Linked DNA regions of Caenorhabditis elegans. The protein of the gene in region 4 purifies or fractionates together with the protein of the main gene of each other region. This does not show direct contact. Each region holds a gene or a part of one and is shown on either strand. Other genes may lie near its edges.

Region 1 (7,321 bases), on a different chromosome or scaffold from region 4:
AGTCCACATAAAGTGGGGTGGGAGAGGGGAGTGTTATGGTCCCAGTATGGCAGATCATGCATTTAGATAGTGTGCTAATAGTAGTCTAAGAAATTAGTTAGTTTCTCAAAAACAATTCGAAATATTTCTTTAACTTACAGAAGTTGGCAATAAAAATTGTCGCCAAAAACTAAATACCGTAAATCCTTAAGTGTAAAATTTGCATAAAGAATAATACGGCAAAAGTGCAACAGAGTTAAACGGAAAAGTAATGTGCGAAAAACTGAAACCGTATGAATTTTTTTCAGCCAAAAAAGTAAAGGAAAAGTATCTTATAAGACCTCACAAACTACGTCGATTAGCTGGAATTTCTAAACGTGGTCATTTGAATAATTTTCCAAATCTTGACATAATTTAATTTCTGGTAAAGCTGTTTGAAATACTGCATAACTTCAAAATTAGATTCATTTAAACCTCAACTTATTCACTCATATTTACCTACATTGCTTCAAATTCATCTCTCAACATATCGAGAAAAAAAAACTTACAATGTCAAACATGGCAACAAATCGTAACTTTTAGAATATAGCAACAGAAGTGAGAAAGAGGTCAAATTGTGCGTGGCTATAGAATGAAATTGAAGCCATGCAAAGTTTGAAAAAAACCAGTTCAAAACGGAAAATCGGGGGATCATAGAGAACGCCGGAAAATACATATAAGGAACCTTTAATCTTTGAAATGAAAAATATATAGAAAATGCTATGATGGTTCCAGGACCGCCGCCCATATTAAAATGAAATAATAAGAAATTTCAGTCAGGAGGCAAGCAAATGATAATAGATCAACGGTTACACTATCATCATCATTTCCTGTATTGATGCCCAGTTTTTAAAAGTGCGGAATATAACAAGAGAAAGTCCAACTGGGTAAAAAAAACCTTGATCTACTAGTCAACGAAGACTGAAACATTTACGGCAACAAAAAGTTTTAGATTTATTAGACGACATTTGTAAAAATTTATGTTACTCATTATTATCTTTACCATTCCAAAAAGTTACAGGTATACTCTTATGCATTTAACGATGTTTTCTATGGTCCGTTTTTTGTATTAAACTGGTTTTTCAATAAGTAAAAGTTTTAAGAACATTATTGCACCAAACTCTGATATGCGAAAATCTTTAGAAATTTCTGAAAAACTATAAAATTGCAAATCCCAAATTTAGCAATTTTACAGTTTTTCTGAAATTTTTTTCTGAAATATTTACGATATAGGCATTTTCTGTAATTATGTCCCGTGTTGCCTACAACAATTATTCAGAAATAAATTCATTGAAAACTGTCGAAGATCAATATTTTCAGTTGAACATTTTAATTCTTCAATCAATTTAAGTTGTGCATCTTTAAAAAATGAAGAACATTTCGCATTAGAGGAAATGAGAATAAAAAAAGCGAAGACACTTTCATCTGTTCAGAATTGAGATGCATAAATTGAGAGACATGTTTTTTAAATGGTTGTGGTCTCACTTTGAACGACAAAAGAAAACCAAATATTGTAAAGGAATAGTACAAATAAAAGGGAACAAGTGATACCAGCTGATGGATGTAGGTCAGCGACAAAAGACAGGAGACGTATAGTTTGATGATTATGGAACCAAACTCAGAATTTAATGTTGGAGACGCTATAAAAATTGAATTGAGAAATTGAAACCATATTCTTGAATATCTCTCAATTTGGAATTTGGAAGTAGCCGTAAAATCGGCTAGCTAGAACATAAAAGGACTGATTTGCAACCTTGACCATTCATGATATCATTTCAATAAAAGAAGAGATTCCAATGACCAATCTTCAAGAATCACAATAATCACAACAAAACTAAGCAAAAGTAACAACAAATTGTTCAGGTAGACAAGTAGACATTTGGACACATTTTGCGGGGATGTGATGACTGTATAATAAAAATAAGTGGACACTGAGAGAGAGAGGAGGTCAGCAGGAAAAAAGAACATCGAACTGCTTGACGAATTGAAATTAGAATGAGGTGTCAGGCAGGTGACGATTACATGGTTAATTATTAGTGTTCTTTTTCTTCTTTTTGTGGATGCCGATTAGTTGAAATAATTGCATGGAAAGTGAGAATTCAATGTGAATCTCTTTCTTATTATGTTTCAAGTGGTATCTGGATGGAAGCTTGTACTTTTATGAATCGAAAATTGCGCCCAAGGTTGATTTTGAGATTATTCAGTAAATTTTTGTGCTGATTATTCAGTTAATGTAGAACAGAGACGCGGATGAAAACTTTTTTAATTTCTAAAAAAAAAGACAAAATGTGGTTAAAAAGTTTGGAAAATAATTGTTATATACTTCTTGAGAGCTTATTCAAACGGAAACCAATCATAAATAGTCGAATAGTCATTTAGAAAAGAGAAACTAGTTGATGTAGAGAGATTCAAAAAGTAAAATATGCAAATGATCCGTTTCTTAGATTTAGTAAACATTTACCAAATGAAACAGGAATTGTCGAAACAATTTAGAAAAGGAGAAGGAAACATTTGTTTATTTTCCCCTTTAAATGGCGGTAGAGGTAAAACAGCAATACACATAGTACAAGGTTATACTACTTTCAAAAGAATTTGACATCCCGCCGAGAAAATGTGGTGATTATATGGTAAAGTTTTCAGTTGGATATTATCTTCTACAGACGGTGATTCAAAATGATCAAAAGGGCAAGTGGGTGGTAAGATTTGAAAAATTGAGATATAGAACGTGCGATTTTGGTAAAACTTTTTGAACACAAGGCATATTTTTGAACTTTGAAAAACGCAAAATTTAAATTTTGTTAATTACATATATTTTGAACAGATTATGAATATAAGCAAGGCTACATAAAATATGTATATTTTCTTTTTACAAATATTCGTACACTGTTAAATTTATAGAAAAATCATTTATATTCAGAAAAACCTATTTGAACAATTTTTAGTTGCTCAATAACCAATTTGCACAAATTTAGAAAATATAATGGGGGCTTTTAAAAATTTAAATCCTCAGCGAATATTCCTTTGCGATTTTTTCGAACGTTTTCTTTCAGATTAAAAAATCTGAAGCAGAAGTAAATGAACTACCATAGAAAATTCACCAAGGATCACATTTTTACAAAGCCTCCGCCCAATTGTAAACTTGGGAATTTTTGCTTGTTTTCTTTTTTTTTTCAAAAAAGGAATAGTTGTTTTAAAGTAATTTACTCCCCTATGCTTTCTCCAGCAATCAGTTGTTCTCCCCATACTTTACACAATTATCAACAACTTCACATAGAAAACAAAACAACAAATCAGAAATTCCCACCGGTCACAGTCACAGATTCCCCATGTTTTGTTCATCTCATTTCTGCAAGAAAGTGACATCGCTGCCACCCAATTCGACAAATTGTCCAAGTGGTCATCAGGAAGATATGACCTTCTTTTTAATGATAATTTAGACTACAAAGGGCGTCAAAAAAGATTCAATGATCAGGGGTAATTGCTGTAAAATGTAGTTTGTATGTGTGTTTACCGTAGCCTATAACTGTAAAAATTGGTTTTTTAAAAAGTATTTCTGAGATTAAAAGGCTCCCCAAGGATGCACGATTCTAGAAGAAAAGCGGTGATTCTAAAGTAAGTTCCAATTTCAAATTTCCTAAACTATCGCATTCTGAAATTCCCCTCTGTTCTTTTTTTTTCTCGTAAACACGATAAAGCCATTCCATTATCCATTAAATTCATTTTATTATCTTCTCCCAATCTCTGGATCCCTTGATCACTGATCGCCGGGATTGTCAGCTGGTGGTCCACTCTTTCCCACGCAGTGTCACAAAAATAATGGACGCACATGTGTTGTCTGTTATAAGTTTAGATCAGGTGGGAGACAGAGAGAAAATGGGTCAGTTGGGGTGGGAGGTAAGCTATTTTAGATATAGAAGAAATGTTTTTAGGTTATTTGATACCTGAAAACACACGTAGTTGTTTGTAAACAAGAAGTACCCTTGGAATTGAGCCAACTTTTTGAATAGGAGGAATTTTACAGTCATTACGAGTAAGGCTTTCGATAAATTATTTTTGAATTAAACAGATATCTTGACTCGCTTGGCATTTGGCTCCGGTTTCTTGCTCAGGCGCGGCTCAAAAAATATTTTTTGGCACGTTATCCCAGAGTTCAGCTTTTGCCCAAGTTTGGCCAACTTCTGATTCGCGTTAATAATTTCTGGGCCAAACTAGGGCGAGAAACTGGAGCCAAATGACGAGCGCCTCTATTTTTTGCGACACTTGTGCTCTATAATTTCTCAATTTATTGAATCTCAAATATGTTTTGAAACCGCAAAAATATAGTTACTGCTTCTAAGAGCAAAATACAATGGCTTCATTCAGCGGCTTTTCGTAAGCTTCCAGTTTTTACTGCCAAGTCTTTACTGAAAAGTCAGCAAAAAGAATTAAACCATTGTATGTTATGCTCTTTCCCTTCTAACAATCCAACCAACAAACAATCCCGAGTTTTCCCGAGCCACTATAAAAATTTAAAGTTTCTCGGAAACTTTTTATTTTACCCAAACATCTGGAGGATCATTCATCAAAATTACTTGTTTGTCATGATTTTATCTGAATTTTTATGCTCAAGCACATCTGGTGTCAGAGACAAATTAAAGGTTGTATGTTCAAAAATAATACTATATGTTGTAAAGCATTAGAAAAGTAGTGGAAAGTGAAGGGTTTTCAGAATATTTTAAGGGTGTGGGGGATGAACAATGTACATGGTATAGAGCAAGGAAAATTTAAAAGTCAATAATTCCGAAGAGATGATTTCCAACGTCAGATTTATTTGTTGAGTAGAACAACTGATGGAAGTATGTGTTCCAGGTCTCTGGCTTCATTTGTGGAACGTATTGACCTTTCTTGTCCTGAAATAATTCCTTTTAAATTAATCAAAAAAATATTTAAATCCCACCACTGAAAACTTATGGAAAGCTGCATCACACTCGGATTGATCAAATCCATATGTACTCATTCCATCGGTATACTCGGCAAGATCCATGACTCCATCACAGGAAACATCAAAAAGTTTGAACATAAAGTTCTGATAGTCCTTGAACCATTTTGGTTCAGTCTTCGCATCGGTCTTCTTCAAAAGTCCGATCCATTCATCAATCGAGATCAATTGATCCTTATCAGCATCAGCAATGGAGCACAGTCCTTCCCAGAGAGCAGCAAGAGATTTCTTGGCAAAGCCAGTTTGAACTGATTCAGCTCCGTAAATGTCACGGACTTTCTGGAAGGTTAAAAGAAAATAATAGAATTTAGAATTCTAAAAATAATTCTCACCTTGACAACCAAGTAAAAATCTCCCCAATCGACTTGATGAGAAGCATTTCTATCTGAAACATATAATTGAAAGTAAAAAAGAGTGGGAAAACTAACCAAAAAATAGTGAGAAAATGCGTTCCCACTTCTTGACAAGGAACGGATCAACATCGGAATGTTTCTTGATAAGATCTTCAATGGAAACTGCTGCTGTAGGCTTTGCAACAACCATTTCTGAAAGTATAAGATTTGACTGAAAATTATAAAATTATGAACTTGAGAAAGTCTAGAAATCAAGAAAAAATATCTAGAAATGAACATTCCATGGGTTGTGAAGATGCTTTTATCTCACTTTAGAATGTCTGACTCCGCCCCTCTGTGTACGAATTGAAGTGCTCTTTTGTGATGATCATAGCTCCTCCTTGCGGCGACGCCCGCACACAGCACGAGATATTACACGGAATACTTATGTGATTCATAGGAAACAAGGAAATCGAAAAAATAATAGGATTTTGAGGAGGTATTTTTAGATGAATGCTTATGATGTTATGATGAACCCAAGAAATTCTGAATAGACATATGTCAGAACGGGGTAGGAGCTCCAGTGTCGCTTTTGAAATAAAAAATCAAGTGGTATACTTCTCGTATATACCCTTCTGAACTAATAAAATAATTTATCTTTTGAAAAAGTTTGAAAAAGAAAAATGCCCAAAACTTGAATTTTAATGTTTTGTATTTTGAGCATATCGTTCAAACGTCGTGATCTGAAAGTAGAAAGATCTAAATATTCGTGACACAGTTTGGTTTGAAGGTCTTAGTGGTAATTTTTTATTACAGAAGCAACAAAAAGTTGACATATTTTCAGAATTTCCAAAAAAACGTTTAAAATTTCAATTTCTTCGATAGAGTTCTAAAAATTTTTTGGAACGGATTTTGTAATATCCGCTGATAACCGTTCAAGAACAATTTGAATTTTGAAATAATTTAATCAACTAGTATCCAGTGCTCTTTCTCACTGCTCCACCCATTTTTCAACCCATTTCCTTTACTCAATTTCGCCCGTTTTCCTTTTGCTCAAATGTGCCCACCAAATCATCTTTCTTCGTCTTCTTTTCTCTTATTCGGAAGGAGAAGAGGTGAAAGTAGAATACGTTTTTTTGTTGAAAAGAGAAGAGCACTGCCACTTTTCTCTTATTTCCATCCTTCTACTACCTCGTTTTACTTTCCATTTAAAAACCCGTTTAAAGTTCCAAAATTTCAATTATCTTGCTTCTGTTTGGAACACGACAAACTTTAGTTTTGTTACAGATATGTTCCGAATATCAGTTATATTTATTTGGATATTTTTACAATTGGGATACACAATAGACTATAAAGTATCAGTTTTAATTGTTTCTGAGCCGAATCAAGAAACTTTCAAAGAATTGAAAGTTTCCGTTACGGTAAGTTTTGAAATTTTTACTTTAAAAACTTACAAACTCGGCATTATAGAAGAAGCTCCAAACTTTTAAATTAGCATATTCATATTCACAAAATATCATATTTTCAACTTTTCTTCTTAATTTCTTTCAGGCGGCATTCGTGGAAGTTTTTGGAAGCACATCATATCACTTGGGGAATGACACTATTTCCGCAGCTTTTGTAGATGCAAAAAGGTTTTCGAAATTATTATTTGTTGAGCTTTTCCCCCGAGAAAGACATTTCTTATATTCAGTGGAGATAATCGTCTGGAATTGACTCAGGATATTGTGTGCAGCCAGATGCTCAATCACTCATTGGCTTCTGTTATATTTTCTCCATTACTGACATCATCTTCAAGATTTATTGATTTGGTTACATCATCAGCATATACACTTTCATTTTACAAACTTCCAGTTGTTGGAGTAATGGTTAGAGATGCAGAGTTTAGTAAAAAGGTGATCGTTAAATAAATTGACTAATTTTGTTTTAAAAGTTCAATTTAGAATATCTATCCCACATTTGTTCGTCCAACGGCTCCACTTTCAGATGAAGC
Region 2 (7,518 bases), on a different chromosome or scaffold from region 4:
CGTGTTTTTCTTGAGCACAAAGAAAAATGACTTGTTTAATACACTTTTAAGAACAAAAGTCATTGGTGTTTACTGAGTGTTTTCTGAAATTATGTTTATTGTTATACCAGCCGTGGACCGCACCTCCGGCGCGGCCCCCGACTTCTGGAGCTGAAAACCAATTTTTCTGAAACTACCGTAATCATACAGTACTTCTACCGTACCACCATTGTACCACTACAGTACCCCGACTATATCCCTACACTAACCCCAACTCACTATCCCTCCAGAAGCTAAAACTTCGCAGACTACAAAGACTACATAGACTACAAACTATGGACAAACGGAATAAGCGCTTTATATATAGTAAATGGTGATCGTGTTTCTAATATTCTTGTTTATTTACAGGTCTGTTGAAAACAAGTGTTTCTACTTTTTATGAGTCGTAGATGGGAAAGCCCCATAGCCATTACGGGCCATGAATGGGACCAAACAATTATTTCTACCATAGCATTACACCTTTTTAGTCACACTAGTATTTAAGGTGTAAATAGATACCCATTTAACAAGCATTCACAATTTGAAGTTTTTTTTTTGAAAATTTTACTGGAACCAGACCAAAAAATTATTTTGAAAAACCAACAAAAAAGTTATGTTCTGAAATTGTACCAAGTATTCATTTTAGCCTGCCAATGCATATATGATCAGGGGTGGGTGGCATTTATTTTCGGCAATTCTACAAAAAAAGTTGCATTATTTTTTCCCACATTTTTCATTAAAAAAATTAGTGCCGAACTACAGAATGTTGTTTGATTTACTTGAAAATAACATCGACGTTAGCTGAAACATTAATAAACGTGCTAAAAAAATTGCCTGAAAGATATCAATTGTGGAAATATAAAGCTGGAAAATTCGATTCATCATTTGGCAATTTCCAACCATTTTTGAAGCACTTTCAGCTAAAATGATTGTAATTATCGGATAAATTAAATGAGTTTTTACATTTTCACACTATTTTTTTACGAATAATGTTAGAACAACGTGGCGCAATATGTAATTTGATCTGGTTCTACGAAATTCAATAACATTTCGTATTGTACTGTTTTGTAATAAAAGTTTTATTAATTTTTTTTGGATGGGAAATTATTTCAACTTGATGGTATCTCTTTTAGATTTAGCTTTTTTGTTGAAACATACGAAATATTTTATTTCAAAATCGAAATACCACAAAATTGATAAAACATTTGCATTTCTTCCCGGCGTTCAGAATGCTGAAAAAATAAAAATTGCTCATTAATCTGTTTTGGACTTACTTGAGCATTGAAGACTGCAATCGTGCAGAACAGCTCGACCAGCTTGTCGTGCATATTCACATCCCCACCAAGAGCTCTCAGAGTTACAGGAACTGTGATCGAACAATGCATTGAAACATCCGGTATATTGCTCGAAGTACCTGCAGATTTTTTAAAAATTAATTATGTTGTAAATTTTTGATCATATTTCATTACATGCAGTGGTTCTTATAATCTGCCAACAAATTCTTGGCAAATGTGGCACGGCAATCGCTGATCTGAGTTTGTTTTGTGGAAAAAATGTTCGACATACAAACATCGTTGTTGGAGAATCCTTAAACATTTAAAATTTTTTGTTGCTCAAAAATTATTGAAAACCTACCTTCAAATCCAGCTCCGCACGCAAATCCGAATTGTTTGTACATTGACACCACTTGCACGGCATCTCTGAAAACTTGGTAAGATTAACAGAAATAATGAATTGTGCCAACTTACCCAAGTCGAAGACCTGCTTTCACGTGATAACTAATGCTGGTGCAGTCACGTCGTGCTGGTCCAAGACATTCATAGTACTTGTTAAAAGCGCTGAAATCAATTTTTTTCGATGGGCAAAAGACAATGTAAGTATGAAAAAACGAACTCGCAAACTTTGAACAAACCACTTATACCGTTGATGTACATGTTTTCAATTTCTTGACGGTGACATTCAGGCTCGAAAGCAAGAATTCCTCAAAAATTGATAGCTCATTCAATTAAATTGTTATAAAAGCTTTACCATAACAGTTTGACAAGCCTAGATCAGATTTGAGCTGTAGCCCGCAACACTGAAGTAAATCTGGAGTGCATGTACCTGTAGTTGAAGGAGCGCATGCACAAAAAGCTGTTGGTGCTACTGAACATGCTTAAAAGGTCAATCAATCTGGGGGTACATTTTGAACTTACTTGCCAACACCGCAATCAATACATTCAACAGCATGTCGTGGAACGGAAAAGCTAGGGAAATGTTTCATTTATGGGATTAAGAATTGCAGTCCTTATCAGTTGAAGTGATTATCAATAATCCTGTACGCTTAAAAGACATTGATTATTGCATTAAATGGGCTAAGCGGAAAAAGTATTTTCGGAACCTTGTATTTGAATTTGACGGTGAAATTTTAAAACGAATGAAAAAAAAACTAATTTTTTATTTCAAATATTGCATAATAAGTAAAACAATTTATAAAAGATACACAGTCAAAAAATAGTTTTTTTTCAATAATAATTTGCTTATAATCTGTTGTCCTACCAAAATGTTTAATATACCAAATGTTGAAAACGTCCCAAAAAAGCTATTGGCAATATTTATTTCAAAACCCTTTTTTCAAAACTTTTCATGAAGTTCCCCATCGCCACACCAATAGATTGTCATATACTATACCGATGGCATTTTCTCAGTAATAAAAATTTATTCTTATCACAAATGATAATACATAGTTAAGATTGAATGACAAAAAGTTAATAATTTGTTTGTATCTGACATCATTTCGTTTTATTCGACTCATCCGATGATTCCTCCGCTATATGGCACTGCAAAAAAACAAAATCAATTTTACTAGATTTCACAATTTTCAAGTTTCACTTACAAACACATCTAGCTGCACATTGAGGGAATCGAGTAAAAACATTGACTCTTGAGTATTCACAAGCCCAGAACATGGCATCGTTTGATTTTTCACCACAGTTGTTTTTGAACTGAGTTTCGAAGCAAATCAAGTACTTATTGGCTTGTCTGTAAGTTTGGTTGGCGTTTTTTAATAATACCCGATGGTCTTCTTACGTGCAAGCCTGATTTGCGTCAACGTCACTGTTCACCTCATAATCTAGTCGGCATTGTCTCAGGACATCACTTTGGCTTCTCCAAGTAGTTGACATACAGCCCTCATTAAGGAGGTATGCTGAAATGAAGAAAGTTACCTCGTTACGGTTGGAATCCATTAGTCTGTATAAGGCGCTATTTTTGTGTTAATCGATTTCTGATCTCTGAGCAAATTAGGAATTTATAGTAAATGCGCAGCCGACTTCGGTTGTGGTCAGCGATGGACCTATTTCCCATGTATATCATATTTTCCTGCGTCTCTTGAATGTTTTTTTTAAACCTAATATGTGCTAGTATTCATGCCTATTCTAATCATAACTCAGAAATTCCTCTAAGAGTCTCATAATGTGTATAAATTACCACAGCAGCAAGCCCCAGAAAGTTTGATTTCGACACTCCCCGTGTTTTCCACCTATTCTAGAAACTTCATACCATGCCAAAAAGATGTGTAATTGTGTACTCAACAAAATTCAATTCCGACATCGCGTCGGGAAATGACAATAAAAATTCATACTTTGCAATCCAGCTCCACAGACAAAGTGCATTTGGTTGAACAGTCCAACAAATTGATAAGCGTTGAATGGAGTGGCCGATACAGAAACAAAATGGACCGCAGACATGCAGTTCGCGTATTCAGAGCCCATGCAAACTTTAAACTCGCGGAAAGCTCTGGAATTATATTCAGGATTCGAGAGAGAGTATCTAGTGAAGTACTGACTTGCAAACTTTACGCATTCCACTGGGTCCTTGAGCCTGGTAGTTTGTCTCCACCTAAATTTAATCAATAATTGTGTTTTGCTCTTTTTTCTGATAATCAAAAAATCAGATTATAATACAATCATGATGACATAATTAATCCCATTGACTTAAAAGTTATCATCGACACGTTCTAAACCTCACATTTCACATTTCACTATGCACACCCTTCGTCATATCACCTTATTCAGTTATCATTTCATGGAATGGCAAGCGTGGAAACTATTGTATTAAAAACTTGCCTCCTTGCGGAAGTTTTCGGGGTCAAACCATGGCTGTGGGTCGCTGATGCTCAAAACCGCATTGAGAGCAGTTTGGCACTCAAAATAAACCGTCGAGTCACAGTTTAGACCGGCTGATTGGACTCCTGGAATAAAAAAATAAGATTAAAACAAATATTTCACAAGTTTTAATTTCAATTTACTTACCTGACAATCCAAGAATCAACGCAAGAAATGGCAAACACCGGTCTTGCCACATCTGAAAGCATAATGTGAGCACAAATATGTATTTTTAATTTTGCAAAAAAAAACACACACACACACAAAGTCAGAAGTATTCAATGCATTGAAGCATTTCAAACGAAAACAAATTTTTGAAATTAAAAAATTATGAATTAAATTACATAGATTTATTCCCAAAAATGTGAATTCAAATAAAACATTTTGACCAAAACAAAAAATGGAGATGATTAAACAAAAGACGATCAGACGCGTTCGTGGACTGAAAATAAAATAAACATTATTTAAACCCCATCCCATTCTGAAAACCTACATGTGCAGAAAATCTGAGAGCACTGTGGGAAGAGAAGATTGGTACCGGTACGCTCGTAGTTGCAACCCCAGTAGGCCATCTCTGGCTTCTTACAAGCGTTCCAGAACAGTTGGAAGTAGCAGTTGGCTGCGATCTCAACGTATCTAGAAAGTTAAGATTATTCATTATTCTTTTTGATTGGAAACAAAACTTGAAAACTTACGCGCAAGCTTGAGCTGGGTCAGCCATGGACTTCACGTTGAAGTCATTGTCGCACTGTCTCATTGCAGCTGTCTGGTTGTTAAAGACAGAAGAGCCGCAAACTTCAGAGTTGGCAAAGACTGAAAATTCAATTCTAGTATTCAGTATTACAGTATAATTGCTAATCTTACTCGAGAATCCAGCACCACAGACAAAATCAAGTTGGTTCCAGATTTTTACGTATCCATTAGCCTGATCCTGTGTGAGTGGGGCGCCGTTGTTGCTGAAGAACAGACAAAAACTGTTACAGTATATATTGAATTGAGAACTTACTTGGTTCCAGTTAGAAGACCGTATGGGTTCTGAGCACATGCGTAGAACTGTTCTTTTGGTTGGCTATAAATCAGTTGATTTGAGATGTAAAAATTAAAGGATCAAAGGGTGTTCCGTTTTTAAACTCCCACTAGGCTTTAGTTTCAAGCCACGAGCCATTAGTGGATTCCTCTAATTCCCAAGCTAGGTTGGGTGATCCTAGGGAAAGGCAGGACTTGAACTAGTGGTCTCATGATTGCTTGCGATCACCACACTACCGACTGAGATATTCCCGTCGCACATTGTGAATCTCACAACATTGCAAACTATGTCACTTACTAGCACTGCTTGTACTGCTTGAAGGCATCGCAAGTTGTAAGAAGCCCGTATGCTTGGTTATTGGCATACGACTGCTCAATGGCACTTCTCAAGTCTTGATATTTGGCAGCACCGAGAGAAGCTGAAACACCAAAACTTTTGTGCTTAATTCTATTTTTCAGTTTCATTACCATCAAATCCCAAAAGTTGATTGAACTGACTCTGACAAACATTTAGCTGGTTATTGATATCGCATGCCGTTAAACTTGGGTTTTGTGCCGCCACAACGCCTGAAACTTTTCATTGGTTTATTTTTTAAGGTCATGTCTCTCAGTTTTTTCCCAGAACTTCTAATAGGTTGAAAAATAATCGAGCCTGGAATGTTTGGTTTCTAAAAGTCGTATCCAGTGCCACCGTACATTTTCTTTTTGATAAGAAAATGCCCGCCGCTAGTTGTGACGCAACTAATACCAACAATCACATTAGATTTAGGAAATTACAGTAGTCTAATACTTGTGCAGATTTCATTTTGGGAACGTTCCCGATCTTGCAAAAGTTACTTAGTCATAATAGTATTTAGGCGTTACCGGGCAACACGTGGAATTTTTCGTTATCAAAACTGATGATAAGTAAGCAAAAGCAATCCGGTTAGTGCAAGACTTAATTCTGCCAATCTAATAACTGTGGAACGGTCTTGTTTAGTTTTGAATACTTGTAAATGATGGGGTAAAGGCAATGAGAATGCGAGAATCAGGAATTGAACGAAATTTTGAAAAAGAGAGTGCCTAGATAAATCGTTGTGAGCAATTGACATTTGAACTATGAATTTTTGAAAAATCGGTAATCAAATAAATAGTGCCTAGTTTTTACTAGAATTTCGATTAAAAGCGCTCCATGATACAGAGAATCTGTCAAGAATCTTACCAACTAGTACAAAAACAGCCAGGCAATAATTGGTAGAGCACATTTCGCGGGGAAGCAGGCGTAGTGCAAAGTCGTGTCTCCCGTTATCACTTTGCCGCTGGCACTTCTGTCTGAATCTCCACCTTTCGAGGGCCGGCTCGCTTTATGGGTTTGCCAACCATCCCCTTCTCTTCCCCACCTCTTTTTCTCCTTAACGCGTGTATGTGCACGTTTATCGTTTCGTTTATTATGATAGTCATACCCTTTTTCAAATTGCATTATCACTTTTTTTTCAGTTTTGATGGAAAATGAAAAAGGGAGCGGCTCTGAAAATGACGAAAACTCTTTTCAGTCCTAAAATGACGCCAGGAAACAAGGCGTGGCTGGTAATTACTTGTTACAGTTCCAGATTTATTAGAAAAAAAGTCATGGAATCTCATTATTTGTGGACAAGGTAGAGAATACATTTGTCAGGGAAGTTGGTGACATTTAGCAATAAAAAGATCAAAACATGGCATCAAAAGTAGAAATACACAGTTTGGGAAGATGTATGAGATCATTGGTTGGTTACAAGTATTCCTGTTTCACAGTAACTCATCAGATGCTGGATTTGCTCGCAGGTGGACTGAAAATAGAATACTTGAATGCAAAAAGACTATAAATTCGAGAGATATACCGCTGGATGGAAGCTCTGCACCAGAGGGCAATTGTTCTTGGCGAATCCGACAAGGTCTTTGATTCCAAATGATTTGGATATTTTGCCCACGTATTCGCAAACTTTGTCCAGTTGTTCTTTTGTCGGCTCTACGGCTGCAGCGGACGGTGAAGAAATTCCCTATAAAAATATGTGGCTTCGATTTTAATAGCTTCTAAAACGATAGCATTGATGATAACCCATGTTTGACAGTGATGTCGTGTTCAAACAGAAAAAAAGAGAGATGATTTGGGTAAGACGAGGCAAATGACTCACAGTGGGTTGCAATGTCGCTGATCCAAAAGAAGCTGTGTTTGGCTTAGCCAGTTCTATTTTTATTTCTCGAGGAACTGTTGCGGCTGATGCCTCTGGGGTGCCGGCAGCTTGATTGTGTTTTCTGTAATGCAATAAGGAAATAGTTTGCTTAAACATTTTGAAATCTTTTTATAAAAACA
Region 3 (9,930 bases), on a different chromosome or scaffold from region 4:
GAACAACTTTGTTTTGAGAGCATACTGATTTCCTTTGCTGTACAAATACTCTTCCGATGGCAAATTGTATCCGATGACATACGACGTCTTCCATCCTCCAAAGAGTGGGAATCGTGGACGAATCTCAACGTCAACGCTGTCAGCACGGATTCGTACAGCGGATGTAGAAATGTTTCCGATCTCATCACGATAATAGATATCTTTAGCTTGAGCAGGAAGAACTGTGGTAAACTGTTGGAGTGCTGGTTGGCGACGTCCACGACGGTCCATTTGGTAATCGATTCTTGAGAATGGACCATCAAGCTCAGCTCCCTTGTGAACCAATTCAATGTACTCCTCCACAGCGATGTTTCCCCAGTGAGAAACCTCGATGAATCTTTCCACGATGGTGGCAATAACGAATGGCGAGTTATTTTCATAATGAACTTTGACTGGTTTCGTCTCAAAAGCTGGGATATTAACATATGGTCCGTAGATGACACGTTCCGTTTCTTGTTTCGATGGAGAAACTGTGGTTGCGGATAGAAGCTTGCCTCCTTGAGTGGTTCTAATAGTTGTTTTTTGGGTCACAGTTTCGTACAGGGAAGGAACGTATGCAGATGTGTGAAGAACAACAAATTGACTGTCAGATTGCTGAATCTTGGATGGGAGTGGCTCAAGTACTTGTGTGATACGAAGATTGATTCTTATGGTAACTTTGGCTCCCTTGGCAACAGGAGTTCGGAGGTCTACTTCGTAAACTGCAAGATCCTTTTCGGCTGGTTTTTCAGAAATTTTCAATTTTCCTTTGCTTCCATCGATTCCAGCAGAAATGAAAGAAAGAGTAGCAGATTCTTCTTTAGACAAAGCAATCTGAAAAATAAAGTTGAAATATAGGAAATATAGTGAATTTTCAGGAAAAATATATCTACATACCAAAACTTTCGATTGAGGTCCATTTCCAACGTTCTCAAATGAATACAATGTCGAAACCTTGACAATTTGTGACGTGGCATCGATGGTTCGGTCAACATTAGCGGCTTTCCAAGCGTCTTCAGCGAAAACCGCCCCCAGGAGAGCGATGGCAAATAGCAATCGCATCTGGAAAAATTAGATATACAATCAAAAATGCAGAAAACCCAAAAATGTCATATTAAAACGTTTCAAGAATGAAATTCGACTGATCGAGCAAGACGACATCTATTTGGAATTTAATTAATCAGCTCGTGTTAAAAAATTATCTATTATTACAATCTCAGCACAGAGTAACTTTATTTTGTCACAAAATCATTTAGCAGCAAAAATTCGCATGTACAGACTAGAAAAATGATATTTTTGTTTGGTGAAATCAGCAAAATTCATTATAAGAGCAAATTTCAAGTGTATTATATTGATTTGATGCATAAATTCTGCGAAAATCTATCTTTAAATTACAATAATTTCAGCAAAAAAAAGAGAAAGACGTGGTAAACTCGTCCACGTATTTTGAATCGGAGCCATTCGTGGCGAGACCCACCAGCCGGCATGATGACTGCGCCTTTAAACAAAGTCTGTTCAAATTATCATTTTTTCCGCGAACCGGCGCGGATTTTCAGATTTTCTAATCCAATTGTCATCGTTTTGTTGTTTTTTTATTCTTTTATTCGGATTAGATGTATTTCACTCTTAGTTTCTATTCCTTTTTTCCAAACTCTGACTCTCAAAATAGTTATTTTTCGATGTTTTCATAAAGTTGAAAAATATTCACGTTTTCGAGGGAATTAGTATTTGAATACGCTGTTATAGTTTCTTCGTGACTTAACTGTTTTGTTAATTCTATAAAATTCATTTCGAAATCTCAGCTTCTCTTTCGAATACATATATTTTGAAGGATCGAAAAATGGTGGCGACTACTCAACAGACACCAAAAGAGGCGGACAAAAAGAAAGCCGACGATAAAAAAGTTCCCGAGAAAGCTGAGCCAAAAAAAGAAGAGATGGTTAGTTTAAAGAATAACTATTGTTTAAGCCGTAATGAGACTTATAGCTTATTTATTTCAGAGCGAAGAGGATCAAAAACTCGAGGAGGATCTCAATCTTCTTGTTCAGCGTTTATCTGAACCGGACACAACACTTTACAAGCCATCACTGGAGACTATGCGGACATTGATTCGTGCTTCAACCACATCGATGACCTCTGTTCCAAAACCTCTCAAGTTTATGCGTCCGCATTACAATAAAATGAAGGAGATTTTCACATCGATCGTGGCGCCTGACGTTAAGAAACTTTGCGCAGATATCATTTCAGTGCTCGCAATGACATCAGATGAGCGAACCGACACGATCAACTATCGTATTCTTGGATCACACGAGCCGATCGGGGATTGGGGACATGAATACGTTCGTCATTTGGCGATGGAAATGTCAGAGGAGTGGAAGAAGGAAGGCACTTCGGATGCGAGAAAAGCTGAACTCCTTAAGTTGACTCAGGATATTGTCAGCCATCACATGAAACACAACGCAGAAGTTGAAGCGTGCGATTTGCTCATCGAAATTGAGCGTATTGATTTGCTGATCTCTTATGTCCAAGAAGTTGATCACCAACGTGTGTGCCTTTATCTTCTTTCATGTGCCCCATTGACTCCAGACCCGGATAACATTATTCTTATTCGCACTGCTCTCCAACTCTATTTGAAATTCAACCGGTATCTTGAAGCTGTTAGATGTGCTATCATGGTCAACGATATTCCACAGGTTCATCAAATATTTGCGAAGGCATCTGACCCGTAAGTTAAATATAACGTCTCTTACTTTCCTAAAGAAAAGTTTTCAGATTGCTTCGAAAGCAAATGGCTATCTTGCTCGGTCGCCATCAGATTTTCCTTGACTACGAGGGATCTGCAGATTCGGATGCTCTTGCCGAACTGAATTCCAATGCTCATCTCTATGAATACTTCCACTCCTTGGCTCGTGAGCTCGACATTATGGAGCCTAAAACTCCAGAAGGAATTTACAAATCTCATTTGGAACATTCCCGGCCATTCGGAAACTCTGCTCAGCCAGACTCTACTCGCATGAATCTCGCCGCTGCGTTGGTGAATGGATTCGTGAACTGTGGATTCGGAGTTGATAAAATGATGGCTGAAACAGAGGAAGCCTCCAGATGGTTCTACAAGAACAAGGAATATGGAATGCTTACTGCAGCCGCCTCACAGGGTCTTATCTGGAGATGGGATATCGATACCGGCCTGGCACAATGCGACAGATTCTTGTATATCAATGACGATTATATCAAGGCTGGAACCCTTTTGGCTATTGGTATTATTTCCTCTGGAATTCAAGATGCTTGTGACCCTGCTTCCGCACTTCTCCTTGATCATGTTCAATCTGATCGGTCAATTATGAGAGTAGGATCAATTCTTGGACTTGGACTTGCCTACGCTAATTCCAAAAGAGAAACCGTTACAAAGAATGAGGAACGCGGTGTTATTTTCGAGCTCAAGAAAGTTCTTTCTGATCAAAAGCCATCGGCTATTCCTGAAGTTAAAGGACTTGCTGGACTTTCTCTTGGCCTCATTCTTGTTGGAACTGCTGATGCGGAAGCTGCGATGGAGATGCTTCAAGCTCTAATGGATAAAAGCGAAACTGAGCTCACAGATCCAAATATGCGTTTCCTTGCATTGGGAATTGCATTGATCTTCTTGCAAACTCAGGACAAGAGTGATGTGTTTGTCGAAAGTCTCCGTTCACTTCCTGATCCATTTGGAGCGATGGTAAGTATTATTTGTTCTAGATCACCTCGAGTTTTGGCTATTCCCTTGTTCATATCATAATGAATACAATTTCAGGTTTCTACGCTCGTTGAAGTTTGTGCATACGCAGGAACTGGAAATGTTTTGAAAATCCAGAAATTGCTCCATCTCTGCTCTGAACACTACGAGACGCCAGCAGCTGAGAAGAAAACTGCCGCTTCTCGTGGACCGCGTGGACCAGCCCCAGCTGCTGCTACACCTGCTCGTCCTGCTGCGCAACCTGGAAATGTCAACGTCGCTGGCACTCCAGCCCCAACTGGAACACCCGCCGTTGCCCCAGCTGCTCCGAGACGCGACCTTCCAGGAGCCGCAAGTGCTGCTACACCAGGAGCTCCAGAGACTGCTGCCGCCGACGCTACTCCAGCACCACCTGCCAAGCCAGACTTGTCATCGCAACAGGCGGTTGCTGTACTCGGAATTGGTCTGATTGCTATGGGAGATGACATCGGATCTCAGATGGCTCTTCGCATGTTCGGACATCTCATCAGATATGGAGAACCAGTTATCCGTCGTGCTGTTCCCTTGGCGTTGTCACTTCTCTCCGTCTCAAATCCTCAATTGAACATTTTGGAAACTCTGTCCAAGTTCTCTCACGATTCTGACGCTGATACCGCTCACAATGCTATTTTCGCGATGGGACTTGTTGGAGCAGGAACAAACAATGCTCGTCTTGTTGCTATGCTCCGAAACCTGGCTTCTTATCACTACAAGGATCAAGTTTCTCTAATGCTGGTCAGAATTGCACAAGGACTTACTCATCTCGGAAAAGGAACAATGACGTTGAACCCATGGCATTCTGATAGGCAATTATTGTCTCCAAGTGCTTTGGCTTCTCTCCTTTCAATTTGCTTCTCTTTCCTCGACGCCAATAACACGGTTAGTGCAAGATTGATATTTCTACCATAATTTATTTCAAATTTAGATTCTCAACAACCGTCAGCATTACTTGCTCTACACGTTGGTGCTCGCAATGCAACCAAGAATGCTTACCACACTGGTAGAAGACGAAATGAAGCCTGGAAGCTTGAAACAGGTATAATTTTTTTAAAAGTTTCAACTCTCCAATGTGATTTTACAGTTGAACGTTTCTGTTCGTGTTGGTCAAGCCGTTGACGTTGTTGCTCAAGCCGGAAAGCCAAAGACAATCACTGGATTCCAAACTCATACTACGCCAGTCTTGCTTGCCCATGGTGAACGTGCCGAGTTGGCGAACGATGAATGTATGCCATCCTAACATTTGATAATTAATTTTTAACTAAAATATTTCAGATCTCTCTGTGACTCCACATCTTGAAGGATTGGTTATTTTGAAGAAGAATCCAGATTATCAGCCGGTTGTTGTATCAACTAAGAAGTAACCAACAAATTTATGGATCTAATTTATTTTTCTCCCCCTTTTCTCCCATCTAAATTATCCGTTTTGACCCGTTTTATTGTGCACAATCCGATTGCATTCGCTCTCTGCCCGATTTCCCGTTTTTCTGTCAATTTTCCCTCTCCCTCATCATTTTTTCTTTGAAAAAAACGTGTACACTTTAAATTTGAGTGGGACGGTATTCGAGTAAATTATTACTTTCAATCTTATCATCCTGGGTTTTATATATGTATTAATATTTATTGATCACAGGAATTTGAAGATCTTCTAGGTATCCTTATCAAAGTATCGAATATATCAGAAAATCCGTCAAGGTGGCGATTGTTCGACATTAGATTTTCAGCATCGTTCGCATACATCTGGAAATAAAATTTAGAATGTTCAAATGTGAGTTTGGAAATTTTAGTTTTTCAGTTTTTAGAAAAGTTTAATGAATTATTACACTCACCTCAAAAGTAGCCTTTTTATCCATAAAAACATCTTTCATTTCATCAATTTCATTAATAATATCACTTGTCAAATATATAACAACAAGTGTCATAATTGCCATAAAACATAAAATTCCAATAGCAGCAAAATCAGCGATGAAACGAAATTTGTATAAAAATTCGGATGTATTCATAGTTTCGAAAAAACTATAAAGTTTCAAAATTTGATGTATTAAATGGAAAAGTAATAGAAAGAAGAAGCAAATGACCAATACAATTAGACAAAGAATTGAAAACTACAGAAAACAGGTGATAAAAGATAAGAAAAAGTGAAGAGATTTAGAGATATTTGTAGAGACTAACCAGTTTGACGAACTATAGAAGTGAATTGTGTAAACTTTTAGACTTTTTGTGATTCAAAAAAAAACAGTTTGAACATTTGAAATCACAGTATTATTTAAAGGTGCAGTGTTTAGCAAAAAATTATCGTAACGAGACCCGGTCACCATATTTCCGGCACAAAAATCTAACAAATAATGTTATAAGCCCATTTCATAGTTTTTAACATTTCCCACCAATCTAATCGTTTTGAAAACCCATTAATTTTTTTCAAAAATATTCTTGCAGGTTCAGTAAAACGAGATGAGCAGGAACAATCTTATTGTTTACATGAATCCGCCTGACATTTTACAAGAATACTGAAATTTGTGAAAATTGCACATAAGATATGGGACCAGGCGATTAAATACAATAGGGAATGATTATCTGACATGATTAAACTTTAGGATTACTTAAACAGGATTTATTGGTTCGTTATTGATGTTGAACGACCCTGATGATGACGTGCTGGATTGAGCATAGTAATCGTCAAATTTGTGGTCGATCAAACGTTGCCAACGAGTCCGAACCATCCCAAATTCCTCATCATCTTGGCGTTCGGTGTTCGTTTCTGAAAGCAGTGTTATTAACATAAACAACCATTTTATCTTATTAAAACATACTCTCACAAATTTCCTGCTCAAGAAAGCGAAGAGCGCAGACAAAGCCATTGATCACTCTGAAGGCAAGTTGCGAGTTCTTTTTGAATGATTGCAGATTCCATTTGTCTGTGCCAAGGATGTCCCGAAATTGAGCGATAGCGTTTTCGAACGGCAGGGATTGCACATTGTTATTGACAAGAAACTTTGTGATGGCATCGTAGAACATCCGCAGGTCGTCCAATTGAAGGATTCCTGTAGATTGCACATCAAGGACGCGGAACCAATACTCGATCGATTGATTCTCGTCAGTCCCAATCATCGCAAATATGAGCCACGTCACTTCTTTCGTATCGAGATAGTTTCCCGTTGAACGACGCACTAGGTTACTCGAGAAGATTCGGTCGACGATTATTGTTGGAATACCGGTTTCGTAGCAGTAAATGGCGATGGCATTCGAATCAAATATCTCATCCCATTTGCCAATATGATTGAGCTCGACTGCGCAGAGTTGTCCGGTGTGCCTACAATTTTAATAATTAAATGACTAATCTGAGATTATAGCCGATTACTTCATGTACCAATCCTCGCATGCATAACGCACGTAGTCATTTAGAAGATCTTTAGTCTTAACTTGAATCGTTCCCGTCCACGTTCGCCCAGCAGTCCAGAGTATACGCTCAGTGACCTGAAATGTTATCGATACACAAAATTAAATTAGAAAAATAGAAAATTACAATGATCGAATACATTTCAGCTTCCTCCTTTGAACAGTCCGTTTCAGTCAGTTTCCGCTCGAAAATAGCTGACTGCAATTCTTCGCGTGTGATCACTTCTGAATACGACCGCACTCTTTCGAAAATTGATGAGTTAACAAACTCCAAAGCAGTGTGCATTGAGCACGAAGATGTACTGCTTTCATTTTCGAGTTTCGTCGCTTCTCTGTAACAAAAAATCATGTTTAAATAAATCTGATGATTCAACAAACATGTGCGAATCATCGACTCCAGTGATTGCTTGAGACGTCAGATTTCCGCTGGAGTCATCCGAGCAAGAGGACCACGACTGATCGCGAATCGGAGCTCTCATTCTCGTGAGTTTTGGTGATGACGTGGCAAGCGGGGAAAACAGATGCTGAAAATTTCCAAGAATGAAAAGTATATTCTCCTGAGCTGATAAACATACCGTCGGGAACTTCACATCAATAACAGACTTCATCTGAATCTGCTGGCTCATTTTCACGTGGGATGAGCGTATTTGAACACTGAAAAGCAAATGCTTAAAATGTTATAATTGATTTGAGACAAAAATTCTGGATAAAAAAGTGAAAAAGATGTAATAAAACGCAGAAAAGAACTAAAATGGACTTTCGTAAACAATTTGTCACTAAAAATAAAATTTTCGAGGCTAGCTGTAGATCGTTCCGCGCGAGACCTTCACGAGTGGCGACATGTGTCTTTGAAAACTACAAAAATCAAAAAAATAGGCCTAGAAAATACTAAAAACACGTGAAGCATTTGATAAAATATTTATTTACACCATTTTATAGAGACGTAAACACATTTCAATTCATTTCCTAACAAATAACAATGAATAAACAAACAGTTATACAAAAATATTGGTGGAATCTGATTATCGGGACAATATTTATGTTTATGATCCAAGCAAGTTCTCAAGAATTGAAGGTGAGCATTTTTCAATTTTAGCATCGAAAAAGTAGTAATTTTCAGCTCGTAGGAGATTCAGAACTAGCTATATTCCCTGAAGATGCTCAAAAAGTTTGCGAAAGTCTCAATGGAAATCTTGCAGTGTTGACGGATGAAAATAGGGAATTTTTTGAGGGTAAAACAGTTTTTAAAAATATTTCTCAATCTAGACTTTATTTTAGAGCAACTATTCAGAAACTGTACACCTCATTCAGATTTTTGTCCTAAAATGTGTGTTTTTGAAAATTCATCAGATAATCAATTAGAAGAACTCAAAATACCAAATGGTGTGATTATGACACAACCAGTTCATCTCGGAGACACATTGCACTTGAAACTGAAAATGGAAAATAAAACGTAGGAATTACATTCAAAAAATGGAAATATGTTAATAGCTTTCAGAATGGAAGTCTTCCAACTATCTAATGCAATTATCGAAGATATGGAAAAAGGATCAGAGCAACAAGTTTTTTTAGAATTATCAATTTACAATAGATACGTTGATAAAAGTAAAGCTATAAACCATACAAAAGCTCATAAAGTTAATGTTGGATATGGTGAACTTACAATAACAGAAAAATGGGAACGATCTAAAGTAAGTAGTGTGCAGTATGATTGTTTTAATTGGTCGATATTTTTTAGCATCTAGTAAAGCCGCACAGGCTTGACATAGATCAATCAGGAGATCCCACAATAGACTTGAAATTAGAGTAAGTTCGAAAATATTACTTTTCCATGTAACGTTACCAACCGTAACTTATCGTACTTCCGTCTTTTTTATCTGGTAGATTTGATATTTGGTTTTTCTATAAGATAGAGTAACACCAGTTGGGCTTTTGTATAAATACTCTCATGAAAGTATAGCTAAATGATATCTCACTAATATTTTTTTTTGAGAAACTTATTCTTAACATTGCGCCAATATATTAAAAAATTCAACTTTGTGAAAATATAACTCTTGAAATATTAAAATTCAAACAATTAAAATGTAATGCAAAAATGTGAAAACTTCGAAATTCTTACTTTTTAAACTGTAAATATGAAACGAATCAAAGGGTTTTAAAAGTTTTACTATGATTTTTGCCCATTATAGCAGCATTGTAGTGATTATAAAATCTCCTACTGAGTGTACTTTAATGCTAGGACACTATAGGGTACGGTAGTTTTCCCTTTGACATTCACCGAGTTTGTATATTTTAGGCCAATATTTTCTTAAGTTTTTAATTAGTTTCTAAAGGTTTCCAGCATCCTTCTCAACGTTTTCAAAAAAAAAACTAGCAATAAAATGTGAATATTCAATGTTCTCCACCAGGTGGAGAACATTGAATATTCACATTTTATTGTAGGGGTGGCAAGAGTGCGACCTAGGTCGCTAGGTCGCTGTTTTCATTTAGGTCGCATTGCGACCTGCGACCTAGCGACCTGCGACCTAGCGACCTGGGTCGCATTGCGACCTGAAGTACTGACATTTTGTGCACTTTCGGTTTTGATTCACTTGAGTTGTTAAAATCTGTATAACTCGAAAACTACATAAGATTGCAGAATATGTATACTAACAAATTGCTACAAATCATTTATTTTACATTGTTTTCGATTTCTTATCCATAACACACCTTGTCGAAAAAAGTTAGAACAGCCGACATCCGCCGGATTTGTTGCCGACTAAAATTGTTTC
Region 4 (7,325 bases):
AAATTTCAATTCCGGCAATTTGCGGATTTTCCGAAAAAATCATTTACCTCCCACCCCGGATTTAAATTATATGAATCTACAAAAAATAAAAAAAATAAAAAAACTATTTAATTTTTTTGAGTTGAAAAAGTTGTTCTCGACTTTTTTCCAAAAAAAAAAAACTGCCAGATGGAAAAAAAATGTTTTTTAAACCATCGAATCTTTCCATTTCTCAATTTTAATAACTTTTCATCTGAAAATGTTTAAAACATTTTTTTCAGGAAAACCCATGGCCACGTGGCACTATGCAACTAGAGATCAAGTCGATTTGACAGTGAAAGAAGCCAAAAAAGCACAAAAACAATGGGCAAAATCTTCATGGATGGAACGAAGCGAAATTCTGAAAAAGACTGGAGATCTTCTGAAAACTCATTGCAACGATATTGCCTACTGGGAGTGTATTAGTAATGGAAAACCAATTGCAGAAGCAAAAGCTGACGTGCTTTCTTGTGTTGACACTTTCTATTTTTATTCCGGAATTGGTAAGTGCATAATAATGTTTGGTTCTAGAAAATGACGACAACTGCAGTCATGATAAGAGATTTTCAAAAAACAATAAGCGTTCTCTAATTTTTGATTTTTTGAGTTGTTTTGTAGGTGTTCTATAGCATTTTGATATCAAAAAATTATAGAAAATTCATTTTCGAATACCCTGATTAGATATGCGCTTTCTAAATGGCTGCCTACAGTAAGATATATGTGACGTAACCCAATTCAAATTCCCGCTCATCTCCCGTTTTGGCATAATTATCAGCAACAAATGACATACAAATCCTGATCTCCAAAATCTAGCATCTGACCTTCTCGGTCAACACGTTCCACTCGATGCTTCTCGTTACGCCTATACACGCCGTCTTCCTGTTGGAGTGGTCGCCGCCATCGGTGCCTGGAACTATCCAATTCAAACATGCTCCTGGAAAACTGCACCAGCACTGGCCTGTGGAAATGCTGTCATATATAAGCCCAGCCCGCTGTCACCCGTAACTGCACTGATATTGGCTGAAATTTTGAAAAGTGCTGGACTACCGGATGGAGTGTTCAATGTTATTCAAGGTGACGCTGAAACTGCACAAGATCTCATTCATCATGATGGGGTATCAAAAGTATCATTCACTGGAAGCATCCCAACTGGAAAGAAAATCATGAAAGCCTGCGCCGATCGAAATATCAAGCCAGTAACCCTGGAACTTGGTGGAAAATCCGCATTGATCGTGTTCGACGACGCCGATATCGACTCGGCGGTGTCTTGTGCAATGATGGCTAACTTCTACAGTCAGGGACAAGTTTGTTCTAATGCTTCAAAAGTTTTGGTTCATAAAAGTGTGCTGAAGGAGTTTACGAAGAAGTTGGTAGATCACACGCAGAAGATGAAAATTGGTGACCCTTTGAAAGAGGATACTCAAGTTGGATCCCATATTTCTGCAGAGCATCGTAACAAAGTCGAAGGGTATATAAGTAGTAAGTTTAGAAATTTAAGTAGATTCTCAATAGTACACCATTATTTAGCTGCCATTGCCGAAGGAGCCACCAAGCTTTGTGGTGGAGATCGTGTGGCCGTTCATGGCCTCGAGAATGGATTCTACTTGTCTCCATGTATTTTAACAGGCATTACACCCAAAATGACAGTATATCGGGAGGAAATCTTTGGATCCGTACTTCTAATCATTCCATTTGATACCGAAGATGAAGCTATTAAAATTGCAAATGACACCGATATGGGATTAGCTGCGGGTCTAGTCACGAAGTAAGAGTACCCTATTAAAGCATGTTCAATGAAAATCTCATTATTCCAGAGACCTCTCAAGATCCTATCGAGTATCTGAGCAGTTGAATGCTGGAAACGTCTATGTCAATACCTATAATGATGTTTGTAAGTTGCTCCGAATCCCACTAGATCTAGAAAAGAACCTGTAATTTCAGCGCCACTGGTTCCATTCGGAGGAGTCGGAGAATCAGGATTCGGACGTGAAAACGGAACAGCAGTACTCGAACATTATACTCACCTGAAGTCGGTCTTTGTCAATACCGGAACGTGCCCCAACCCATTCTAATGAGTCTTCAAATGTACAAATCTTTATACTTTACTAGTTAGACGAACGGATCGAGAATAAATTATTGCTTTTAGAAGTGTATTTCAACTTCAGAATTGAAACCAATACTCCACAAAGTTATGATATAGTGTTTTTGGTATTTCGAACATTGGCAAGTCAGGTTGCTCAATTATTAATACTATTACAAGTTCCAAAACGTAGCACATCCTGACAGCGCTGTATAATCAAGTACTGAAACAAAACACGTTTATTAGAATTTTAGAAAGTAATTATAGTACATTCAACAAAAATACACATATTAATTGGAAAACCCGTAGATCATTAGGTTTAATTAACTCCTGCTCTGGCGACAGTGAATGGGTTCTCTACTGGAATATGTCCAGCGTTGGCGATGACAACATCCTCAATTGGCCGATCTCCAGCTCCTTTTGGTGTAGCCTCGATCTCACGAACTACGTCCATTCCTTCCAGGATCTTACCGAACACCACATGCTTTCCATCGAGCCATGAGGTTTTGGCGGTAGTGATGAAAAATTGAGATCCATTGGTATCTTCTCCAGCGTTGGCCATTGACAACCATCCTGGTCCGTAGTGTTGAAGCTTGAAGTTCTCATCTTCAAAGCGCTCGCCGTAGATCGATCGTCCACCGGTTCCGTCGCCACGTGTGAAGTCTCCACCTTGAATCATGAAGTTTTCGATGACACGGTGGAACTTGCTACCAACGTATCCTTCTCCCTGAAAATATTAAAGTCTACAGAATTTAATTAACAAACTGAAATACCTCAGCTCTCTGTGCCAACTCAACGAAATTCTTCACTGTCTTCGGCACGACCTCTCCGAAAAGTCCGATGACGATTTTCCCAACAGGTCTTCCTCCGATCTCCATGTCAAAGAAGACCTTGTCAGTGACACGTGGTCCACGTGCCTCGGCTGACAAAGCCAGAATGGCGAGAACGAAGAAAAGAAGAGCACGGCTCATCTGGAAACTTGTTGAGATTTTGGATGCTCATTTTCATAGTAATATAATTAGAGTAGTATATGGTAAAAGTCGGATTTGACATAAAATATGATTTTTAAAAAAACCTCAAAGTAAGAATTTAGTTTCAAAATTAATCGTTTGAAGTTAAACAAAATTCTAATAATTTAGCCTATCAAAATTTAATCATAAGATTTCTAGTTCCTGATCTTTTTTCCCCTACTTTGTACTTTAAGTACTTAAGTACTAAGTACTAAGTTATAATAAATAAATATTTTATTTATAAATATAATGCATAGTATTTAATTTAACTAACAATGTAAGCAATTTTCTAGAAATCCAACAGCATGTATTTAATTGTAAGTATATTAATTGCAAGTTTTATTTTTCAAAAAATATAGAAGAATGCATTCAAAAATCCTGTTCGAAAAGAAAAAAACGACAAAAGAAAAATCGATACAGCTGCAGGAAGCAGCCGTGTCCGGCGGAATAGTGGACATTTGTGCGTGCGCGCATTCTTTTTTATAGTGTTGCAGAGAGTGTGGAGAATTAGAAAGTTACCTTGACCTCTATCTGAAAACAATGGGAGATAATGATAATGATGTAGGTTAACAGTTGTATCTATAGATAAAAATAAAATAATAACAATCTATGATGTAGGTAACTTTGGACATCTTATTTTCTATAAAAGTTATAGGTTACAGTGCAAAACTTTAAGAATAAAAATTTTTAAATTGGTAAAAATCGTCATCCGCAAATGTGGAATAATCGGGTTTTGAAATCGACGTATCGTATCCAAGAATTCCCAAAAAAGGTGCCACGTCATCAAGTTTTCGTAGAGTTTCTTCACTAAAACAATCAAACCACGAGGTTAAGGCTTTAGTGTTTATCGAGTTTTTAACTTGTGATGCAGAGAATTCTTGACTGCAAAATTAAGAGATAGTTGAAGTTCAAAAGTTTTAATGAAGAAAGCACATACTCGTTTAAATCAACTTCGTCTCCAATTAAATCTTGATGTCTTAGCATTTGCTGGGAAAATGGCAGATCCAGGAAGTTGGTGATACGTAGGATTTCTTCCGCAGGTTTTTGAATCAGTCGTTCATAATATACTTTTATGCATTGCCCTGGCGCATTATTGCATTGAAAAGTCATTTTTCGAAGCTCCTGATTCCACTGAACAAACATTGACTAAATGTTTCAAATTATCTTTAGAAATTCAAGAGTTTCATTAGGGAGACCTTACAATTTCATCAGACGTATTATACCCAGCAACTGGTACTTTTCTTTCTATCATTGAATGAACTACGGCACGAGCATCTCGAATCATCAGAATAAACTTTGCATTCGGGTACAGTCGGCGAATAGTCGGAAGCCACAATGCGGTGTATGGATCCTTGTTGCACAGACGAGGTGCTAGTTCACTGTGCTTCGCGACTATCTGTATGAATTGCAATTAAAGATGAACACGGTGACAAGAGCACTACCTCAGTGATGAATGCTGAAACAGCGTCGTCAAATACTTCCTGAGTAATTCCTGAATTATTGACCCAATCATTCCGCCAGCCTGCTTGCCATGTAAGGAAACTTGGAAGCAGCATGGTTTCACCGCCACTGAAAGTTTGAAGTGAGCAGAAGTAATACGTTTTGTTTTTTCTGAATAAGAAGTATCATATTGTCAAGAAAAAGTCTTGACTTCAGAAAGCCTTGTTTCGACGGAGTTTAAAAGTTTTAAAGGAGAAGAAATTCAAGATCTTTTGGCCAAGCGCAGCATACATCGCATTTTTGAAATTTTCTAAATTTACCATCGAACATCCGGATGTGCATCTAGAATAGCTCTCATCAAAGTAGTCCCACTTCTCGGCACACCACCCACAAAAATCAGCTGCTCCAAATTTGAGAGGAGTCGTCTCGAGTGTCGAGCATCTTGCTCATTGAAGATTAAGCTCTCTTTTGAAAGACTTAGCTGTTCTAACTTTTCCTGAAGTTTCTTACTGAAAAATTACCATTTTCAAGTAGAACCCACGATACACTTTTAATTACCACTTTATTGAAGAGAATATCAAAAGACAGATTGTAAAGCAAAAAATGAAAATATAGATAAAAAAGCTGAAACCTTGGGATAAAATTCTTCGATTCAACATGCTCAGGGAAGTCAAATAGAAACTACGGCTGGGAACAGTTAATATATTCAAAAATTAATTCAATAGTTGCACAAATATTTGAAAGCATATTATTAAGCGCGGTATACATCAGCGATTGAATATAAAATCAGGAGAAAGAGGATAAATGGCGCCTGGAAATTTGTTGGGCAGTAGAGAATTGCTTGAAGATCTCTGTGAGACACTTTGTCGTTTTGCAAAATCCTTCTTCTTATCAATTATTGTGGCCGTCATCATTTTTGGTCGACTTACTGCCACTTCGCTGGAAATTACCTGAAATTTCGTGGGGCAAATTGTGATCCAGTGATGGATGATAAACTGTGCTGAGAAGATGAATTATTCAAATAATCAAATTTATTACAAAAAGAGGTCATCAGTTTGCTGAAAAAATACAAAACCTCTGAAGATCAGTGAGGTGTGGTAAAATTCAAGTGAAAGCGTGGTCCGATCATAACGAGCTGATGTCCAGCGTAGAATGATTCCGGCTCGAGTCCGTCGACACGTAGCGGATTTTTTCGTCGAAAATCTGAAGAAAAGCGTGATATTGTGTGTGTAGCCTAGTTTATTACGAACTTGAACATTTCCACCACCAGGCCGATGATTCATATTGTCCTTTGACCCAACCTTACTCTCGGCTTTCCAGTTCAATTTTTGACTTAATATCTGAAAATCAATAGCTGCAATATGAAAAGCCACCACGTCAAATTCAAGTTCACTCGTGTTTCAAATTCTTAATCTTCAAAATACCTGAACATTTCCACCAGCAGGCTTATGCGCTGCGTTGTCCATTGACCCAACTTTTGATTTAGCTTGCCAAGTCAACTTCTCCGAAACTATCTTCACGTCAGACTTTGCTGGCTGATAATTGGTTTTCGAGCCAACCTTTGGTGAAGCTGCCGAAAAATCTAGCTTCCTGTTTTCGATTTGAACGTTTCCGCCTCCGGCAACGTGTGTTGCGTTTTTCAAGGAGCCAACTTTGGATTGGGCGTTGTAGAGCTGAAATAACTGAATGTGTAAAAAATATCTAGGTTTTGATAATGCAACTTCTGGCGAACATCCTTATTTGGTGTTCTCCAAAAATGAGATCTACAAGACCGATTTGTTCAGCTCTTTTTTGAGCTAAACAGCGACCTTCATAAACGTCATCTGATTGGCTCAAATCGCAGAAAAATTTTTTAATGTTCACTCACTCTTTTCTCCGAGAAAATTTCCACATTTCCGCCGCCCGCCTTATGATTGGTGACACTTCCCACTTTGCTCTTCACATTTACAAATTTGGCGTTAACCTTTGGCGTCATTCTTCCAACATTATCGATGCTTCGCGTAGACGTGGATTTTTGAACATCCGACCGTTCTCGAGACATTTTTCTGAAGATTTGTTACTTTTTTACTAATTGGCTATAATAGGGATTATTCAAGCCAAGCAAAATTTTCAATTTATGGTCAATCAGTAATGATAACATTCTATATATAAGTAACAACTATATGTAATAACTCAAATTCTACGTGGAAATGTGAGAAAGTTTGAAAAATTGAGATCGCAGGTGCCATAAAAGAAATAGGAGCAGTTGGGTGCACAACAATAGAGGAAGCAATTATGTTTTGCAATACCCAGACAACAAATATTCCGCACCAAGTTTAGGTGATGTATTTTCACTATGGGATAGTTTCAGGAAATGAGTATAGATACGTCCATTAGCAAACTTAGATCTAGTTATTTACTACCACGAATGAAAAAAATAGGCAAAGATACGTCTAATACATATAAGCGCAGAGAAATGAAAAAAAAAAACGTATTTTGGATACAATAAGACGGACAGAACCAAACCCATCTTTAATCTTCAAATAACTCGAGAAATTGTTATGAAAAAATAAACACTCACGATATGGGTCTCGGAGATGGCGCTGTTGAAGCAGTTTGTCTTGGTGTACTAATAGCGCGTTGAGACGAGGGAGTAGCAGTTGCTGGCCTAAAACAAGGAAATGCTCAGAATTTGTGATGAGTGGTCACTAGGTGAGCAACAAATGAAAAAATTACCTTGGCAAAGATGCTGGTATCGGTTTTGGCTGTCGCAGAATCGCCGTTGGTGGCCGAATCCC

Evidence for each region.
Region 1: the proteins of cyn-6 (region 4) and cex-1 fractionate together in Caenorhabditis elegans (co-fractionation; one large-scale study listed by BioGRID). This does not show direct contact.
Region 2: the proteins of cyn-6 (region 4) and nspg-12 fractionate together in Caenorhabditis elegans (co-fractionation; one large-scale study listed by BioGRID). This does not show direct contact.
Region 3: the proteins of cyn-6 (region 4) and rpn-1 fractionate together in Caenorhabditis elegans (co-fractionation; one large-scale study listed by BioGRID). This does not show direct contact.

Annotation. Positions count from the first base shown.
Region 1 is NC_003280.10:5,445,901-5,453,221, reverse strand, and holds cex-1 (Calexcitin-1), read right to left. Parts: upstream 5,542-7,321; 5' UTR 5,540-5,541; coding exon 5,425-5,539; intron 5,382-5,424; coding exon 5,329-5,381; intron 5,276-5,328; coding exon 4,955-5,275; intron 4,908-4,954; coding exon 4,782-4,907; 3' UTR 4,588-4,781; downstream 1-4,587. Other genes in the region: nmr-1 (LITAF domain-containing protein), read left to right, coding at 6,618-6,749, 6,880-6,962, 7,022-7,223, 7,272-7,321.
Region 2 is NC_003284.9:5,252,038-5,259,555, reverse strand, and holds nspg-12 (DUF19 domain-containing protein), read right to left. Parts: upstream 2,258-7,518; 5' UTR 2,248-2,257; coding exon 2,214-2,247; intron 2,164-2,213; coding exon 2,047-2,163; intron 2,000-2,046; coding exon 1,912-1,999; intron 1,857-1,911; coding exon 1,767-1,856; intron 1,719-1,766; coding exon 1,654-1,718; intron 1,606-1,653; coding exon 1,488-1,605; intron 1,433-1,487; coding exon 1,293-1,432; intron 1,251-1,292; coding exon 1,243-1,250; 3' UTR 1,172-1,242; downstream 1-1,171. Other genes in the region: nspg-13 (DUF19 domain-containing protein), read right to left, coding at 2,809-2,837, 2,894-3,039, 3,088-3,205, 3,641-3,795, 3,845-3,897, 4,125-4,249, 4,311-4,362; nspg-14 (DUF19 domain-containing protein), read right to left, coding at 4,589-4,605, 4,657-4,799, 4,859-4,976, 5,028-5,119, 5,170-5,232, 5,488-5,608, 5,658-5,756, 6,391-6,433; Y34B4A.10 (aECM cysteine-cradle domain-containing protein), read right to left, coding at 6,926-6,994, 7,046-7,204, 7,340-7,460.
Region 3 is NC_003282.8:6,901,833-6,911,762, reverse strand, and holds rpn-1 (26S proteasome non-ATPase regulatory subunit 2), read left to right. Parts: upstream 1-1,849; 5' UTR 1,850-1,858; coding exon 1,859-1,957; intron 1,958-2,018; coding exon 2,019-2,743; intron 2,744-2,790; coding exon 2,791-3,730; intron 3,731-3,805; coding exon 3,806-4,645; intron 4,646-4,691; coding exon 4,692-4,802; intron 4,803-4,847; coding exon 4,848-4,989; intron 4,990-5,038; coding exon 5,039-5,127; 3' UTR 5,128-5,343; downstream 5,344-9,930. Other genes in the region: ribo-1 (Dolichyl-diphosphooligosaccharide--protein glycosyltransferase subunit 1), read right to left, coding at 1-852, 916-1,080; T22D1.17 (Col_cuticle_N domain-containing protein), read right to left, coding at 5,384-5,503, 5,593-5,766; T22D1.5 (EF-hand domain-containing protein), read right to left, coding at 6,364-6,521, 6,574-7,073, 7,122-7,237, 7,287-7,491, 7,538-7,683, 7,735-7,785; T22D1.8 (SRCR domain-containing protein), read left to right, coding at 8,139-8,234, 8,280-8,391, 8,438-8,612, 8,658-8,850, 8,898-8,965.
Region 4 is NC_003281.10:769,158-776,482, reverse strand, and holds cyn-6 (Peptidyl-prolyl cis-trans isomerase 6), read right to left. Parts: upstream 3,070-7,325; coding exon 2,872-3,069; intron 2,826-2,871; coding exon 2,418-2,825; 3' UTR 2,324-2,417; downstream 1-2,323. Other genes in the region: alh-11 (Aldehyde dehydrogenase domain-containing protein), read left to right, coding at 261-521, 832-1,497, 1,546-1,783, 1,833-1,909, 1,960-2,090; tpst-2 (Putative protein-tyrosine sulfotransferase), read right to left, coding at 3,780-3,990, 4,046-4,254, 4,310-4,504, 4,551-4,677, 4,869-4,906; ptl-1 (Microtubule-associated protein), read right to left, coding at 5,316-5,498, 5,973-6,221, 6,416-6,593, 7,109-7,195, 7,264-7,325. UniProt on the Caenorhabditis elegans protein: PPIases accelerate the folding of proteins. It catalyzes the cis-trans isomerization of proline imidic peptide bonds in oligopeptides.